2 linked regions of the Canis lupus familiaris genome follow. The protein of the gene in region 1 binds, or shares a complex with, the protein of each later gene. Links are inferred from orthologs where the notes say so. Each region holds a gene or a part of one and is shown on either strand. Other genes may lie near its edges. The genes, in order: ESPL1 and PTTG1.

What was found.
Region 2: the proteins of ESPL1 (region 1) and PTTG1 are in contact, whole or in part, in a cryo-EM structure (PDB 7NJ1), measured with the Homo sapiens proteins. The link is inferred for Canis lupus familiaris from reciprocal best matches to the Homo sapiens genes ESPL1 and PTTG1. Residues at the interface, in NP_036423.4 of Homo sapiens: His402, Thr405, Val406, Tyr409, Ser461, Asn462, Tyr465, Tyr468, Arg505, Arg508, Glu512, Glu544, Thr547, Phe548, Arg551, Gln590, Lys593, Ala594, Val595, Arg596, Thr599, Gly600, Arg603, Gln634, Cys637, Tyr638, Trp683, Ile686, Glu690, Ile697; in NP_001269311.1 of Homo sapiens: Tyr111, Pro112, Glu113, Ile114, Glu115, Lys116, Phe117, Phe118, Pro119, Phe120, Asn121, Pro122, Leu123, Phe125, Glu126, Ser127, Phe128, Asp129, Leu130, Pro131, Glu132, Glu133, His134, Gln135, Ile136, Ala137, His138, Leu139, Pro140, Leu141.

What each region holds. Positions count from the first base shown.
Region 1 is NC_049248.1:44,735,772-44,739,457, forward strand, and holds the end of ESPL1 (separin), read left to right. Parts: intron 1-470; coding exon 471-626; intron 627-735; coding exon 736-906; intron 907-1,030; coding exon 1,031-1,135; intron 1,136-1,288; coding exon 1,289-1,404; intron 1,405-2,069; coding exon 2,070-2,153; intron 2,154-2,286; coding exon 2,287-2,451; intron 2,452-2,691; coding exon 2,692-2,893; 3' UTR 2,894-3,034; downstream 3,035-3,686. UniProt on the Homo sapiens protein: Caspase-like protease, which plays a central role in the chromosome segregation by cleaving the SCC1/RAD21 subunit of the cohesin complex at the onset of anaphase. During most of the cell cycle, it is inactivated by different mechanisms.
Region 2 is NC_049225.1:51,189,052-51,192,005, forward strand, and holds the end of PTTG1 (securin), read right to left. Parts: intron 2,032-2,954; coding exon 1,873-2,031; intron 926-1,872; coding exon 849-925; 3' UTR 781-848; downstream 1-780. UniProt on the Homo sapiens protein: Regulatory protein, which plays a central role in chromosome stability, in the p53/TP53 pathway, and DNA repair. Probably acts by blocking the action of key proteins.

The sequences.
Region 1 (3,686 bases):
GAGAGGGAATCTCAAGCAGGCTCCACACCCAGAGCAGAGCCCAACCCAGGGAGATCCTGAGATCATGACCTGAGCCGAAATCAAGAGTCAGATGCTTAACCGACTGAGCCACCCAGGTGCTCCTCTAGGTTCTTACCTTTTTAACTGGCGGAAAATAACACAAGACAAATACACACGTTAGAAACCCCATTTCCAGGGGATCCCTGGGTGGCGCAGCGGTTTGGCGCCTGCCTTTGGCCCAGGGTGTGATCCTGGAGACCCGGGATCGAATCCCACGTCGGGCTCCCGGTGCATGGAGCCTGCTTCTCCCTCTGCCTGTGTCTCTGCCTCTCTCTCTGTGTGTGACATAAATAAATAAATAAAAAGAAGCTGAAAAAAGAAACCCCATTTCCTCATATCCAAAATGTTGGCGTCCGGGGGGCCAAGAGACTCCACTCCTCTGACTGGAGGATCTGTTCTTCCTCATTCAGGCTCTCATCACTTCCCTGGAGAAGCATGTGTTGGGCTGCTGGAGGGGACTGTTGCTACCATCCAGTGACGACCCTGGCCCTGCACAGGAGGCCTCCCGCCTACAAGAGTTGCTGCAGGAATGCGGCTGGAAATATCCTGACCCAACTCTGCTGAAAGTGAGTGGAGACATCAGGGAAGGGGATGGAGCTCAAATGAATTCTTGCCCACGTGCCATCGTAACTGGAGGTGGGAGCCGTTGCGCTCACTGACCACGTTCCCCTGCAGATCATGCTCCATAGTGCCAGAACCCTTGCTCCCGAGGACATTCAGACCCTGGCCTATGGGCTGTGCCCAGCCCAGCCAGAACGAGCCCAGGAGCTTCTGAGTGAGGCCGTAGGACGTCTGCAGGGTCAGACGGTACCAAGCAACAGGCACCTTGTCTTAGTGCTAGACAAGGTAAGGAGCTAGGGCTGGAGGGGTGGTGTCTGGTGGGCGGTGGGTACCGACTCCCCCCTCATGCCCCTCTGGACGCTTGTGCATCCTGGCTAGGGAGAGTAATCCGTGTGTGCTTTCTGCCCAGGACCTGCAAAAGCTGCCATGGGAGAGCATGCCCAGCCTCCGGGCGCTGTCCGTCACTCGGCTGCCCTCCTTCCGCTTCCTACTCAGTTACTCCATCATCAAAGAGGTGGGGTTCAGGGGGTGAGGAATGACTGATCGAGGGAGGTCTTGGGAGACAGGAATGGGTCTTAGGGACCGGTGGCTCATTCGTGAAAGGGCTTTGGAGTTTGCTGAAGGTTGAGCCAGACCAGGGTCCTGACCACCAGTGTCTTCTCCTCAGTCTGGGGCCTCGTCAGTGCTAAGCCAAGGGGTGGATCCACGCAATACCTTCTATGTCCTGAACCCTCACAATAACCTGTCCAGCACAGAGGAGCAATTTCGAGCCAATTTTAGCAGGTCAGTGGGATAAGAGTAAGAGAGGGGCTGGGGGCGGGTAGAGACAACGTAGAGGGGCAGTATGCCCTTTTCGCCTCCGGAATCACGTATTGCAGCCCACCTTCTCCTGGTATTCCCTCTGCTGACTCCATTTCTTTTCTTTTTTTTTGTTTTTTTTTTTAAAAAAAAAAACCAAAAAAAAAACAAGGTCTGGCCAGTTTTATTAAAGAAAAATTTTTGCGTGATTTACTTTCCACCCGTCTGTTCTGGCATGCTTCTAATGATATCAGAATCACCTGGATCCATGATAGCCAGTGTGCATACTCTGTAGCATTTCCCACACGCTGTGCCCAATTCAGTATTACTGCCACTGTAGTGATGGACACCAGTTTTGGCCAACATGGCGTAGTATTCTATTTCAGATTTCCTCAAAGCCGGGCAGTTGTCGGCCAGGATGACCAGTTTCGCTTTGCCGTGTCTGATCATTTTCAGGGTCTGCTTGTACCCCAGCACGTACTTTCCACTTTTCATAACCGGTTGGAGCCTAGAGTTGATCGACTCCAGCGACTTTTTTGTCTTCTTTGCGGCCACCATCTTCCTGCCTTAGATGCGGGACGACCCCAACCAACAGCAGCCGCCAAAATGGCCCGCTGACCCCAATTCTAATCCCTACCTTTTCTCTGCAGTGAAGCTGGCTGGAAAGGTGTGGTTGGGGAAAGGCCAAGCCCAGAACAAATACAGGCGGCCTTGACGGAGCACGACTTATATATGTGAGTGCTTAAGGCAGGGACGGGAGCGGGGGTATCACCGTGGCCTGCTATGGGGCCTTAAAGGACGCCCCTGAAGACATGGCCGAGGCCGGGTACTGCTGGGTCAGACTCATCTCCCGTCCCTCTGCCTTAGCTACGCAGGGCACGGGGCTGGGGCCCGCTTCCTGGACGGACAGGCCGTCCTCCGGCTGAGCTGCCGGGCGGTGGCCCTGCTGTTCGGCTGCAGCAGCGCGGCCCTGGCTGTCCACGGGAGCCTGGAGGGAGCTGGCATTGTGCTCAAGTACATCATGGCCGGCTGGTGAGTCTTGAGGGCCCAGCCCAGGTTCCTTCCCCGGCCTGAACCCTAATGCCCCACTCTCCTCGCGTTCTAGTTCTCTGACATGTGGGGGCCTCAAGCCTTTGCCCTCCTCTACCCTCCTGGAACTGTGGACCAGGCACTTCCCACTGGCTCACTCCGCTTTCCTCACCCACCATCAGCAGTCGCGTTTGCCCGCGTGTTACGGCCCTCACTTTGCAGCTCTTCCTTGTCTTTTCCCAGTCCCCTGTTTCTGGGTAATCTCTGGGATGTGACTGACCGAGACATTGACCGCTACACGGAGGCTCTGCTGCAGGGCTGGCTGCGGGCAGGCCCAGGAGCCCCGCTTCTGTACTACGTCAACCAGGCCCGCCAGGCTCCCCGACTCAAGCATCTTATTGGGGCTGCACCTGTGGCGTACGGCTTGCCCGTCTGCCTGCGGTGACCCCCTGGAGCTGCCCCAGCGCCCTCAGGAGCCACGTGACAGTTCCACATCCTCTTAGATATTTTAAGTGATTTTTCTGTGTTTTATATGAAACATTTCCCTTTGACTTAACCTTAATATAATAAAGTTGTAATACTTCAACCCTGTTCCGTGGGGTTCATCCCACTGCGTGGCGGAAGGGGTGAGAACCTTGCAGGAGTTCAAGTCTGAGACTGTGGGGAAGAGGCGAAAGCACAGGGCGAAACTGGCCCGGCTTGGCGCCGCGGACAAAGCTGAAGGAGAACAGGATCAAAACGCTCAGTGGAGGGATCCCTGGGTGGCGCAGCGGTTTGGCGCCTGCCTTTGGCCCAGGGCGCGATCCTGGAGCCCGATGGGGGATCGAATCCCACGTCGGGCTCCCGGTGCATGGAGCCTGCTTCTCCCTCTGCCTGTGTCTCTGCCTCTCTCTCTCTCTCTGTGTGACTATCATAAATAAATTTTAAAAAAAATTATTTAAAAAAAAAACGCTCAGTGGGGACAAAGCCTCCAGGGAGTGGGAGAGTACCCAGCGCCGGCGGTCCGGCTCCGTGCCTTCAGCTATCCTGGGAGCGCCGGGAGCTTTTTTTTTTAATTTTTATTTATTTTTACTCATGACAGACGCACAGAGAGGCAGAGACACAGGCAGAGGGAGAAGCAGGCTCCACGCAGGGAGCCCGATCCAGGACTCGATCCCAGGTCTCCAGGGTCTGCCCTGGGCTGAAGGCGGCGCTAAACCGCTGCCCCCCCCCCGCCCCCCGGCTGCCCCGTCCTCGCC
Region 2 (2,954 bases), on another chromosome or scaffold:
CCAAGAGAAGCTCCAAAACCAGGCCTATGAAACTTTGGGATTTCAAATGGTGGCAATAACTTTTTTTTTTTTTATATCCTCCACCCCATTCCTCCAAAAAATAAAATCCATGAGCAAACATTTACAGTCTCTGATATTTTGATTATAATCCCAGATTTGGAATCGAGGTAAGAGCACTTCATGTCTTTGCATATCAATGAATTTCTGAGCTTCACTGTCCTCTCCTGAAAAATAGGGTCATAAACATGAAACACAATAACAATACTTAAAACCAGTCCAAATACAGTGTAAGTAACTAAATAGTGTTTCCTATAGGTGAAGAGTGTATATCATCACTATCTGTAAATTATCTGCTGCAATCTTTGAAGAACCTAATTGAAGATCCCAGGGACATAGAGTTCTTGGAAGATTTAGAGCCTTTCAAATTCTGATTACTGAATAGTGAGTATTAAAGTCATTAGAAACCAAATAGAACCAGCAATAAAGAATGCTTAGCAATAGATATTTAATGAGCTGAAGTGGCTCTTCTAATTAAGAGATCTAATAACTGTCACTAGTTAATGGCCACAGAAAGGCAGCAGAGTACACATTTAGGAGCGTAAGTTTCAGGGAAAACAGTGGCAGTGTCTAAAATAAGCTGTTAAAGACAAACCAAAGGGTTCTAAGGTGAGTTTTTCAAATCTAATATACTTGTATTGTCAGATTATAGACCCCTGTCAAACACTTAACAATGATTTTCATACCGTTTTAAGCAAATGCCAAAGAATACCAACCGCAATATTAGGAAAGGTCTGTTAAAGAATTGCTTTATTAATACAAAATACACAAACTATTAAGTGCTAAGAAATTCAAACATCTAAGTCATAGCAAACAGGTGGCAATTCAACATCCAAGGTCGACAGAACGCTGGGAGACTGCAACAGATCTAGAAGACAGGAATTTCTTACTCAATATCTGCAAACGCTTTAGTCCATCTCAACACAGACATTGGTTGTCAGTTTTACTCATAAATTCTTATTTTCCCCTTTGTCTAATGAATCCCTACCCCACCCCCAGCTAAACACACACACACACACACACACACACACACACACAGACACACACTTACTTCTTGAAATGTGGCTAAGATACCAGAACTCACCTTCATTAGGAAATAACCTTAAGACATACCTGAAACTATTGTTCTTAGAGACCCACGTAGGAGCCAACAATATCACTAATGTAATTTATGGAAGCATTTGTTATCCCATCAGAACAAATAGAAAACATACTGATGATAGCTTTTGACCACCAGCTTGAATAGAGTACAGGCCTCAAACCTTGGCAGTAAGAAGGTTTTGCCAATTCTGTGCTATTGCGCTCAAGTGTCCTGAACCTAGATTAGCCGTGGATAGAACTTGGAAATCTCATTCCAAACAAGTTTACTATACCTCAAGTTATAACCCAAGAAGCTTTATGCTAAATTTAATATTATTTTCTGTATCTAAAACTGCGTAGGGGCACCTGGGTGGCTCAGTGGTTGAGCATCTGCCTTTGGCTCAGGTCGTGATCCTGGAGTCCTGGGATCGAGCCTTCTTCTCCCTCTGCCTAGGTCTCTGCCTCTTTCTCTGTGTTGCTCAAGAATAAATAAAATCTTTAAAAATAAAGTATAAACAGAACTGTCCAGATTCCAGAATGATTTAATTTTACCTGAGCACTTGGGACTGAAAAACTACCAAATGAGAGGTTTCATTACTCTGAAACCTTATCTCTTTAGTTAGAAATAGAAATCACTTGTAGGCTAACCTTCCATACAATTCTGCCCCCACAATAACGGCAGTATCAAAACACAAATAATTCACAGCCCTACTAAAAGGGCACTTGCTCACTTACCAGACTCCCAGGATAGAGAAGGCATCTTCAGGGGTGAAGGGGGGCCCAGGTGCAACAGCTTTTCAAGTTCCCTCTCCTCATCAAGGATCATGAGAGGCACTCCATTCAAGGGGAGGTGTGCAATCTGGTGCTCTTCAGGCAGGTCAAAACTCTCAAAATCTGCCATCAAGACAAAGCAATTTATCAGGGCAATGCTTCTGAGAGTGGTCAGTAGCCCCACGGGGATCTGAGACCCTTACAGTGGGCCCAGGAGGTCAAACTATGTTCTTAATAACTTCAACACCTTCTGCTGTGTTGACACTTTCAATGATGGGACAAAAGCAATGATGGATGGAATTGCTGTGCTTTAGCACAAATCAAGAAGTGGCAATAAACTATATTTTATAGTCACTATATTCCTCAAAACCATTCACTTGCAGTAAAAAATTGCCAGCTTCACATATCACTTTATCATCTACAATAAAAAGTATTAATTTTATTAGCTCTCAACCCTGAAGAACATGTCTTTTTAGTATTCTGTATGATGACCATAAAGTACTTCTGTTGCATACCGAAGTACCAGGTGAGGTCAAAGAAAAAAGATCTGTACAATTATTTGGTTTGCAAGCTAAACTAGCGGCCTTTTTCCTGTAATACTATTTAGTTGAAATAACAGAAAGACAAACTGGTTACTCAGACTTGGGTATTTGTAACACATTTTCTCAGAAAAATAAAAGAAGTCTATCATTTAAAGAAACAGTATTTATTGCCAATGATAATATACACAATCTCAAGGGGAAAAAAACACTAGAACTTTGGAAAACTTATTAGCTTGTCAATTTCCTAATATTTTTCTGAAGAGATCAGTGGTGACATTAATGAATGTGTGTTTGATATTGCATCATGAAACCCTTCAACATTTGGATAATCTACATTTCCCAGTGAATCATTATTTCTAAATGATCAATGTGTGATAAATGCAAAAATAAAAGATTTTCAAACTGCAGAAGAGCCCAGTGGATTTTATGGTCAGTATAAAATGTTCACTGATAGGGTTTCAGATTACACATCACAACCATACATTTGGAAACTGCCACTTGTTG